Macaca mulatta: one gene and its partner. The protein of the gene in region 1 interacts with the protein of each later gene in a biochemical or structural test. Links are inferred from orthologs where the notes say so. Each region holds a gene or a part of one and is shown in the gene's direction. Other genes may lie near its edges.

Region 1 (5,380 bases):
GTCCTTTGCCACAAAAATGAATACAAGGGAGATGAAAGCAGTGTTACGAAATTAAAGGAGGAAGTGTAGAATGTGTTAGAGCTAGTAGTAACTAATGAAACTTTCTCGTTTGTTTAATTGGAGGGTTTGACAGAGACTTGGAAAGAGCGTTAACTTCCTGTGTGAACCTAGTTGTTTGTTAGATAAAAAGATCTTGACTAGCAGATGGTACCCGTGGGCACAGCACATGTGGCTAGTGATCAAAGAGTGTTGTATGACCCCAGGCCACCACCTGCCCTCTCTGAGCCATTTTTTCTCTGGCCCATTTTCTCCCCTCCCTCGCAGTGCACCTGAAGCGGCACTTCATGTTCCGGAACCACCTGTGCCTGGTGTTCGAGCTGCTGTCCTACAACCTGTATGACCTCCTGCGCAACACCCACTTCCGCGGCGTCTCGCTGAACCTGACCCGGAAGCTGGCGCAGCAGCTCTGCACGGCACTGCTCTTTCTGGCCACGCCTGAGCTCAGCATCATTCACTGCGACCTCAAGCCCGAAAACATCTTGCTCTGCAACCCCAAGCGCAGCGCCATCAAGATCGTGGACTTCGGCAGTTCCTGCCAGCTTGGCCAGAGGGTACGGGGCAGCCCGGTCCTGGGAGCAGGGCTAGTGGTTTGGGTGAGGCAGGGCCAACAGGAGGCTTAGGGGCGGGGCTTGGCTGGGATGGGATTATTAGGAACTGCTGGAAGTGAAGGATAGTGCTTGGGGTGGGGGTGTGGATGTACTGCCCACTAGGATGGGGAGGGTGAAGCCTGAGGGGGCAGGGCTCGTTTTGAAGCTGCCAGATGTGAACAGGGTAAAGTTGGGTTGGGTTTGAGCCCTGGGTGCTGCTTTACTAAGTTTTTGTGTTCTGTGTTCTTAAAGCCGGGGATGGAGGTGGAAGGCTTCAACTTTGCAACTCTGTGTGAGCTGCCACTAAAAATGACAATAGTATAGGGCTGGTGGAATGTCAGCCTCTGCCTGGTGACCCAGAAAGGCCCAGGATCGGGGTTGGGGGTGGAGATCAGGGTCTCTTTAGGCCAGCAGGCTCCCCAGATTGATAAACAAGATGGCACCAGTGGCTCCCAGAAAACTGGTGCTGATAATGGCAGGATTTGGAGCCTCAGTCCCCATTTTGTCAGCAAGAGGCTTGTCCTTAGTTGGGTCCTCTTAGCTTTGGGGGTGTCAGTGGGACCAGTAGAGGAGGCTGGGACCCTTGACGATGACCCTTTTCCCAGATCTACCAGTATATCCAGAGCCGCTTCTACCGCTCGCCTGAGGTGCTCCTGGGCACACCCTACGACCTGGCCATTGACATGTGGTCCCTGGGCTGCATCCTTGTGGAGATGCACACCGGAGAGCCCCTCTTCAGTGGCTCCAATGAGGTGTGCCCCCAGGAAGGGGTGTGCTGGAGGTGGAGGGGGTGGAGCCTGGCTGGCCTGATGACCCTGACTCCCGCCTGCTCACAGGTGGACCAGATGAACCGCATTGTGGAGGTGCTGGGCATCCCGCCGGCTGCCATGCTGGACCAGGCGCCCAAGGCTCGCAAGTACTTTGAACGGCTGCCTGGGGGTGGCTGGACCCTACGAAGGACAAAAGAACTCAGGAAGGTGCGGCCCCTGCCCCACGCCACTCCTCCCACCCCGTGGCCCCTCACTCACACTTGGGGCTCTCTCCCCCTGCTCCCTCTCCCTTGTGTCTTTCCCTTCCTTCCTGTCCCCCTTGTCTGTCTTTTCCTTCCTTCCCTGCCCACCCCATCTCCCATCTCTCCTTCCCACCCCACAACTCTTCTTAGCTTTTCTTTCCACTTTCTCTCCTGTGCCTCTGTTTCCCCATGTGTGTCTCCCTGCCCCTCCTGCCCACTGACGGCCACTCTCTTGCCCCCCCTCCCACCCCCTCCCTGCCAGGATTACCAGGGCCCCGGGACACGGCGGCTGCAGGAGGTGCTGGGCGTGCAGACGGGCGGGCCCGGGGGCCGGCGGGCGGGGGAGCCGGGCCACAGCCCCGCCGACTACCTCCGCTTCCAGGACCTGGTGCTGCGCATGCTGGAGTATGAGCCCGCCGCCCGCATCAGCCCCCTGGGGGCTCTGCAGCACGGCTTCTTCCGCCGCACGGCCGACGAGGCCACCAACACGGGCCCGGCAGGCAGCAGTGCCTCCACCTCGCCCGCGCCTCTCGACACCTGCCCCTCTTCCAGCACCGCCAGCTCCATTTCCAGTTCTGGTGGGTGCCCACGTGCCCAAATGGGGTACAACAGGGGTGGGGGCTGCTCAGGTTTGGCCTGTCCTAGGGGACCTTGTTACTGGGTCTTCACACAAGAGCTCTGAAACTGTTTGATCCTGAACTCTAAGATGATGTGTGGGATGGGAGAGCTCCAGCTGGCCCTGACACAATCTCTGAAATTGGACTTGGGCTCAGATCCCTGAAACTGGTTCTGACTCTAAAACCCAAAACTGAATTCCAATCTAAAATCTCAAAATTGGGCCTGGTTCTTCAGATGGGCTCTGATCTTGAAGCCTGAACCTGAGCCTGGGCCATGAACTTCACTCAGCCATCCCAAAACCCACTTGCCACCTTCTCTCACCTTATGCCCCTTCACCTCTCCTCCCTGGCACTTCCAGGAGGCTCCAGTGGCTCCTCCAGTGACAACCGGACCTATCGCTACAGCAACCGATATTGTGGGGGCCCTGGGCCCCCTATCACAGACTGTGAGATGAACAGCCCCCAGGTAATGAAGCTTTGGGGGCTTTGGAGGTGGGTGGTGGTGCCTGGGGCTTAAGGACTGGGGTCTCCATCATCCATTGCTCCTTTGCTTTTTTAGGTCCCACCCTCCCAGCCACTGCGGCCCTGGGCAGGGGGTGATGTGCCCCACAAGACACATCAAGCCCCGGCCTCTGCCTCATCACTGCCTGGGACCGGGGCCCAGTTACCCCCCCAGCCCCGATACCTTGGTCGTCCCCCATCACCAACCTCACCACCGCCTCCGGAGCTGATGGATGTGAGCCTGGTGGGCGGGCCTGCTGACTGCTCCCCACCTCACCCAGCGCCTGCCCCCCAGCACCCGGCTGCCTCAGCCCTCCGGACTCGGATGACGGGAGGTCGTCCACCCCTCCCGCCTCCTGATGACCCTGCCACTCTGGGGCCTCACCTGGGCCTCCGTGGTGTACCCCAGAGCACGGCAGCCAGCTCATGACCCTGCCCCCTCCCTGGGGCCCCTCCTGAAGCCATACCCCCCCCATCTGGGGGCCCTGGGCTCCCATCCTCATCTCTCTCCTTGACTGGAATTGCTGCTACCCAGCTGGGGTGGGTGAGGCCTGCACTGATTGGGGCCTGGGGCAGGGGGGTCAAGGAGAGGGGTTTGGCCGCTCCCTCCCCACTAAAGACTGGACCCTTGGGCCCCTCTCCCCCTTTTTTTCTATTTATTGTACCAAAGACAGTGGTGGTCCGGTGGAGGGAAGACCCCCCTCACCCCAGGAACCTAGGAGGGGGTGGGGGCAGGTAGGGGGAGATGGCCTTGCTCCTCCTCGCTGTACCCCCAGTAAAGAGCTTTCTCACATGCCTGCCTGAGCGTTTGCAGGGCTTCGGCTCCCCTCACCTGACCCTCAGAGGCGTGGTGGGGAAGGGGGTTTGCGGAGGGGGTGCTGGAGGAGCTCTGTGGTGTGGAGACGTCTCTTGTGGGGAAGTTGTGGCTCTTGTTGCAGGCATGGGGCTGCAGGTCTGGGGCACCAGCTTTCTAGAGAGATCGTGGATGGGATCCTGATCGTGGATGGGATCCTGGCCTACATTTGCCTTTTCTTGGGTAAACAGACTGAAAGGGTAAAGGCTCAGCTCTGGCCTGTCTCTGGGAAACAGGTGCCCTAATAAGCCGGGGCGTCCGCAGAGCCAGCACAGGAGTGGCTCCTCAGGCCAAGCAGGCGTCCAGTAGCCGCTGAGTGCACTTAGCAGGCTTTGTTGGCGCCAACTGGGGAATAGGCAGACAATAGGTACAGACTCTGCCCCCACATGTGTACTATCCAACCCTTTGGAATCATCGCGAAACAAAGTGTTTTGAGATTCTAAGGAAAAAAGATTTTCCCGGGGTTCCAGGTAAGTGGTCCTGTTTCCATGGTAATTTGGAAATGTACGTCTCCCAACCGGCCAATCAAGAACTGCCCAGTTCAAAGGGTACCGTCTCCCACCACTGGGGCGCGGCGCTTTCTGGGAAATGGAGTTCTACTTAGTCGCTTTCTGCGGTGTCGGGGAACTACGGCAACCAGAGTTCTTTTCGCTCAGGCTTGGGGGCGGGTTTTCAGGCAGCCAATGAGCAGTCTGAGGTATCCGGGTCCTGGATGTTCGTGGTGGTTAGGAGGTGGAGAGAAGACCGTGATTGGGTGGCTTTGGCGCAGGTGATGAGGTCTTCGAGGTGTGCGGAAGGTGGGCGCGGCGCCGTGCCGGGAGAGCGTGCCGGTTGTCGCTCACAGTTCCGGAGTGGGCGGTAGACTCCGAGGCCTGAAGGGGCCCCAGCACGGGGACATTACTGGCTGCTGTGCCTGGCCCGGCTTGCGGGAAGCCCCGCTCAGCGGGAGAGACAGGCAAGGACCCCGTCGTGGACCTATGTATGTTCACTAATGGAGGCGGCGTGGAACGCGGTGGGAACCCGAGGAGGCCCTGGTAGGAAGATCATCCCGGAAGACTAGGAGCTGTCTGAGCTGAGACCTGAAGACGGAAGGATGTTTTGGGGGGTCGGGGGCGGTGTGGTGGAATGGCTTGAGCAAAGGCAGAAACAGCTTGATGTGTGAACATGGACTGCAGGTGATCTGATGTTGGTGATCATACTGAAAGTTCTCTATGAATGAGATGTGGAAGATTTTCTTGACCATTTAGGGAACTTGGATTTTGTCCTGAGGGCAATGAAGAGCCATGGGAGGATTTTTAGTGGGGAAGGGGTACGGCCCAGTTTGCTGTGACATGAGAATAGATTAGCAGGAAAGTGACTGGGATCGGGCAACCCAGGGTGGCAGATGTGATAGATTTCTAGGCAAGAGATGTTGGGAATGGATCAGGGCACGGGTCACTGTTGGGAGGGCAAGAGGGGATGGGAGAGACGTCCAGAAGGTTGACAGGCTGTGTGGGAGGGGGAGGCAGGGAGGAGTGGGGAAGGGATATCTCCAGCACATAGAGCAGATGCTCAGTAACTAATGTCTTGAATGAACAATCCTAGGAGGCAAGTGCTGATGAGATCTCCCATTTGTAAATGATACCTAGGACAGAGAAGGTTAGGTAACTTGACCAGTATCGATAGCTAGGAAGGGGAGGGCCCAGGATGTGTGTGTGTGTGCCATTAACTTACCAAGGAGGTATCAGCAGGGCAAGATCATGTAGGTCTT
Region 2 (5,728 bases), on another chromosome or scaffold:
TAGGTACAATGATGCAGAAGCCCAGTACATAAGATAGATAGGGAGCTGCTAGGAGAGGGGAGCAGAGAGCTAACCCCAGGGCCTTTGCACTGCTGTGGAACCCCAGGGCTCCAGGGAACCTCAGTTTGACGACTTTTGAACAAGTCACTGCCTGCCTCTCCCACTAGCCTAGATAAGGAGCTAAAGGCTCAAAGAGGGGGAATGACTTGCCAGAGCCACTTAAATTAGTGGCAGGTCCCAGTGGAGGGCTGTTTCCTGACCACCCTGCCCCCTCCTCCAAACCACGGGCTCTGGGAAGGAGAGGTGGTGCCCTTGGGAGGTCTTGGGGGGTGATGGGATGTAACTGGGGGGCCCAGCTGATTCCCGCCCCTTCCACTCCAGGCCTGGCCTCCACGCAGGCACAGAGTGTGCCGGTCATCAACAGCATGGGCAGCAGCCTGACCACCCTGCAGCCCGTCCAGTTCTCCCAGCCGCTGCACCCTTCCTACCAGCAGCCGCTCATGCCGCCTGTGCAGAGCCATGTGACCCAGAGCCCCTTCATGGCCACCATGGCCCAGCTGCAGAGCCCCCATGGTGAGCACCCTGTGCCCCACACAGGGGGAGATGATGATAGAGGTTGGCTGTCAATGGATGCAGGGGAAGGGGGTGCCTGGCAGGCGTTGCAGTCTGAGTGTGTCTCCAGGACAAGTGTGTTTCCATGATTGAGGGTGTCTGCAGGCCACAGTGTGTTCCCATGTGAATGCACATATCTGTGTGTGTGCACATGACTGCTTGTGTGAGCAGATCCCTAGTGCATGTCTAGGTGTGTGTCAGTTGTGCATGGGTTTGTGTGTGTGTGCGTGCCTCTGTTTCTGTGAAACTCTTAGGGCCATATGAATTTCTAAAATCTATTCAGATTTTAGAAAGGTAATCTGGGGCCAGGTGTGGTGGCTCACAGCTGTAATCCCAGCACTTTGGGAGGCTGAGGTGGGCGGCTCACTTGAGGTCAGGAGTTCGAGGCCAGCCTGGCCAACACGGTGAAACCCCGTCTCTACTAAAAGTACAAAAATTAGCCAGGCATGGAGGCACGTGCCTGTAGTCCCAGCTACTTGGGAGGCTGAGGCAGGAGAATCGCTTGAACCCGGGAGGTGGAGGTTGCAGTGAGCTGAGATTGTGCCACTGCACTCCAGCCTGGGCAACAGAGTGAGACTCTGCCAAAAAAAAAAAAAAAAAAAAAAAAAAAAAGAAAGAAAGAAAGGTAATTTGGTGGATATGCCAGCTATCACATAACACTCCTAGCAGGGTTTGAGATAGCCCACTGTGGTCAAAGCACTGCTATTTCTGCAGCCAAAGTAAGATTTCCACAAGGCAGTTCAAACACTCATAACCTCATGTCAGGTTCAGGCTGGGTTTTGCCACCAAATGAGCTCTAGTGCCAATCTTAAGGAAATCTTTTGGTTTCAGACTTTTTTGGAATTTGGGACTGGGTTAAGAGATTTTGGGTCTGTATATGTCTCTGTGTGTACGTGGTTGAGAATGTATGTGTGTGTGTTACGTTTTTGTCTGAGTCACTGTGAGAATATGTGGTTTATGTGAGTTTTCCTAGCGTCTGTGTGTCTCTTGTGGGGTCTGTGTGTCTCCTGCAGGGTGGGGGGAGGTGCCGTAGGCAAAACATGGGGTTTTATTTGGAGAGGTGGCCTGGAGATGGAGGTACTGCTGTCCTCTGCCTTGCTCTTTGACAGGGGCCACCTGAACTTAGTACACGGCACCCGAGTTTAGTACAGTAGCACCTGTGCTTAGTACATGGCACTTGTGCTTAGTACATAGCACCTGCATTTAGTACAGTAGCACCTGCGCTTAGTACGTAGCACCTGTGCTTAGTACAGTAGCCCTGCACCCACGCCTCCCGTTCCCTTTCATACCTGCTGTCTCCAGGTGACACAAGCTGGAGTTGGTTTCTGGCCTCCTCCAGGCTCCCCTGCATCAATCCCAGCTGAGCAGTTCCCTGTGATGGGGAAAGGGTCTGTCCCTCTATCTGGAGCCCCCAGTTTTGAAAATCAGTCCTGGATCTCCAATTGCTGCCCAGTCTGGTTGTTCAGCAGGCTCCATGGCCCCCTTTCCCCGGTCCTGAGGCCTGGGACGGGGGCTGTCAGGCACGTCTGCCACGTCTGCCCCTCTCTCCCCTGCGGCCAGCCCTCTACAGCCACAAGCCCGAGGTGGCCCAGTACACCCACACGGGCCTGCTCCCGCAGACTATGCTCATCACTGACACCACCAACCTGAGCGCCCTGGCCAGCCTCACGCCCACCAAGCAGGTAAGGTCCAGGCCTGCTGGCCCTCCCTTGGCCTGTGACAGAGCCCCTCACCCCCACATCCCCGGGACTCAGGAGGCTGCTCTGCTCCCCCAGGTCTTCACCTCAGACACTGAGGCCTCCAGTGAGTCCGGGCTTCACACACCGGCCTCTCAGGCCACCACCCTCCACGTCCCCAGCCAGGACCCAGCAGGCATCCAGCACCTGCAGCCAGCCCACCGGCTCAGCGCCAGCCCCACGGGTGAGAGGCCCTGGCTCCACCCCCTCCCTTACTATCTCCGACCCCTTCCCCATGTTGGTCCCACCCCTTTTGTTGCTGTCCTGTCACTGTGGGGCTGTGCATGCAGCAGGCCTAGGCCATGTGGGGAAGCACTGGCAGGCATGGGGGGTTGGGTGGGGTTCCCCGCCTCCCAGACATGGCCTGTGTGCCCATGAAGCCCAAGAGGCACAGGTGACCCCAGGAAGACAGGGTTCACCTTGCAAGAACATCTCAGGGGCTGGATTGAGGAAAAAGATGAAGTCATGATAAGGAGCAGGTCTGTGAGCCAGAAGCAACTCTTGCGCGTGTCTGGTTTGGCTTGGCTCAGGGTTGAACATTCTTTGAATTTGTTGCTAACATTTCAAAATCAGGAATTTTCACATAGAAATCTGGATTTCTGGCATCTTTTGGGAAATTGGAAAAATTCATACTCCCATATAACAGCTCACCAGGCCTCACTGCATCCACTCACATTGGCTCCAATGACCCCTGGCGGTGGGGTGGTCACCTGAGTTTGTAATCTATGATGTCATTATCAGGAGTGGGCACTTTGGAGTCAGGTGGCTGGGCTTTGCAGCCTGTCTTTTTGCAAGCTGCCCCCTTTCTATAAGGTTCCTGGACCCGGCCCTGGCAGCTGTCGTGACAGCCACCGAGGCCATTCTATGTCCTGGCATTCACCCCGTGAGGCATCTGCATGATCACCCCCATTTTACGGATGAGAAAGTGGACACTTAAGGAGGGGAGGGACTTGCCTCATCTCCCACAGCTACCAGATGGCAGGGCCAGGACTCGAACCCAGGTCCAACCTCAAAGCCCATTCTCTTAACCATGGCCATCAGTCAGGGTTCTCCAGGAACACAGAACCGATGCATTTACCTGAAGGACTTGGCGCGTGTCTGCAGGGGCTGGCAGGCCTGAAATCTGTTGCTGGCAACTCCGGGGAGTGAATTCTGCAGCCTTGAGGCAGAATTCCTTCTTCTCTGGGAAACTGGTTTTTGCTCTTACGGCCTTCCACTGATGGAGAAGGCCCACCCATATTTTCAGGGTAACCTCCTTCACTCAAAGTCAACTGATTGTGGCATTAACCACATCTACAGAGCACCTGCATTCACAGCAGCGCCTAGATTAGCGTTTGGCTCAGCCTAGCCAAACCAACACGTACAACTACGTACCCCGGCATCTCACCGGGGCTTCTCCAGTGTTCCCACTAAGATGTACTGAGGCCACTCCCTGGGCGGCCCCGGACCCTGGCTGGCAGGCTCCCCTTGTTAAGAACCGAGGGTAGAGGTGTGACTTTGGGGTTCCTGTTATCTGCTGTGATCCAGGAGGTGTGGCTCTGCCTCCTCATCCCAAGTACCCCTCGGGACGGGCAGGTGGGGTGGGTGTGGGTGCCTGGTGGGTGGTCAGCAGCCTCGTTTGCCTCCGCAGTGTCCTCCAGCAGCCTGGTGCTGTACCAGAGCTCAGACTCCAGCAACGGCCACAGCCACCTGCTGCCGTCCAACCACAGCGTCATTGAGACCTTCATCTCCACGCAGATGGCCTCTTCCTCCCAGTAACCACGGCACCTGGGCCCTGGGGCCTGTACTGCCTGCCTGGGGGGTGATGAGGGCAGCAGCCAGCCCTGCCTGAAGGACCTGAGCCTGCTGAGCTCCTGTGGCCCTTCCTGGACAGCTGTGCCTCGCTCCCCACTCTGCTCTGATGCATCAGAAACAGAGGGCTCTGAGGCGCCCCAACCCATGGAGGGCTGCTTGGGTTGCACAAGAGGGGGCCATGGAGAGCTAGGAGCAAAGCCTGTTCCTGGCAGATGGAGGAGGGACTGTCCCTGCTGTGTGGGACACAATCTGCTTACTTGGAACAGAAGGGGGCGGCCTATGACTTGGGCACCCCCAGCCTGGGCCTGTGGAGAGCCCCGGGACCGCTACACCACACTGGCAGCCACACTTCTCAGGAAACAAGCCTGTGTAGCTGTGACCTGCTGAGCTCTGAGAGGCCCTGGATCAGCGTGGCCTTGTTCGGTCACCAATGCACCCACTGGGCCACTCCATCCTGCCCCAACTCCTTCCAGCTAGTGACCCACATGCCACTTGTACTGACCCGATCACCTACTCACACAGGCATTTCCTGGGGGGCTACTCTGTGCCAGAGCTTGGGGCTCCAATGCCCGAGCCCAGGGAGGCCGAAGCTAACAGGGAAGGCAGGCGGGGCTCTCCTGGCTTCCCCTGTCCCCAGCGATTCCCTCTCCCAGGCCCCGTGACCTCCAGCTTTCCCGGGTATTTGTTCCCAAGAGCATCACGCCTCTGAGGCCAGCCTGGCCTCCTGCCTCTACCGGGAAGGCTGCTTCAGGGTTGGGAAGTTGTCCTTATTCCTGTGGGAGCCTCGCAACCCATGCCAAGTCTAGGTCCTGGTGGGGCAGCTCCTGTCTCGAGGGCCCTGCAGACCCTGCCCTTATTTGGGGCAGGAGTAGCTGAGCTCAGAAGGCAGCAAGGCCCGAGCAGCTGAGCAAGGCCCAAGCGGCTGGCCAAGCTGAGGTGCCCAGAAGAAAGAGGTGACCCCAGGGCACAGGAGCTACCTCTGTGGACAGGACTAATCGAATCCTGGGGGTCTGGCTGGCTGAGGGCAGTTCGTAGCCACCCTGAGGAGTCCGAGGTCCTGAGCACTGCCAGGAGGGACAAAGGAGCCTGTGAACCCAGGGCAAGCGTGGTCCCACATCCCTGGGCCTGCTGCTGAGCACCTGGCCCTCAGTGCACCGCCTCCACCCTGGGATTCAGGAAAAGGCCTGGGGTGACCCAGCACCCCTGCAGCTTGTAGCCAGCTCGGGTGAGCGGCACGTTTATTTAACTTTTAGTAAAGTCAAGGAGAAATGCGGTGGTAATTTCTTGCTTGTCCACAAATCATTCAGACGGGGTTTGGGCCGGCAGAGGGAGGCTGGGGCAGGCCCGGGGTCTGCGAAGAGGAGAGGGGCTCCCGCACTCACGCTCTCACACCCCACGTCTCTGCTTTTCTGGCTCTGCTGAGACTCGAATGACGAAGCCAGATTTCATCTTAACCTCAAGCTTCTACTTTAAAAAACAATTTCGTTTTGGAGACAGGGTCTCACTGTCACCCAGGCTGGACTGCAGTGGCATTATATGGCTCACTGCAGCCTTGACCCCCTGGGCTCAAGGGATCCTCCCACCTC

The links. The genes of interacting proteins can lie anywhere in the genome.
Region 2: of the proteins of DYRK1B (region 1) and HNF1A, one has a biochemical effect on the other in vitro, tested with the Homo sapiens proteins (2 studies listed by IntAct, with this or other methods). The link is inferred for Macaca mulatta from reciprocal best matches to the Homo sapiens genes DYRK1B and HNF1A.

Annotation. Positions count from the first base shown.
Region 1 is NC_133424.1:50,953,333-50,958,712, reverse strand, and holds the end of DYRK1B (dual specificity tyrosine-phosphorylation-regulated kinase 1B), read left to right. Parts: intron 1-324; coding exon 325-611; intron 612-1,252; coding exon 1,253-1,399; intron 1,400-1,483; coding exon 1,484-1,624; intron 1,625-1,921; coding exon of another isoform or gene 1,922-2,041; coding exon 2,042-2,237; intron 2,238-2,635; coding exon 2,636-2,742; intron 2,743-2,835; coding exon 2,836-3,207; 3' UTR 3,208-3,561; downstream 3,562-5,380.
Region 2 is NC_133416.1:128,327,752-128,333,479, forward strand, and holds the end of HNF1A (hepatocyte nuclear factor 1-alpha), read left to right. Parts: intron 1-381; coding exon 382-573; intron 574-2,172; coding exon 2,173-2,294; coding exon of another isoform or gene 2,295-2,387; coding exon 2,388-2,585; intron 2,586-3,957; coding exon 3,958-4,179; 3' UTR 4,180-5,422; downstream 5,423-5,728. UniProt on the Homo sapiens protein: Transcriptional activator that regulates the tissue specific expression of multiple genes, especially in pancreatic islet cells and in liver. Binds to the inverted palindrome 5'-GTTAATNATTAAC-3'.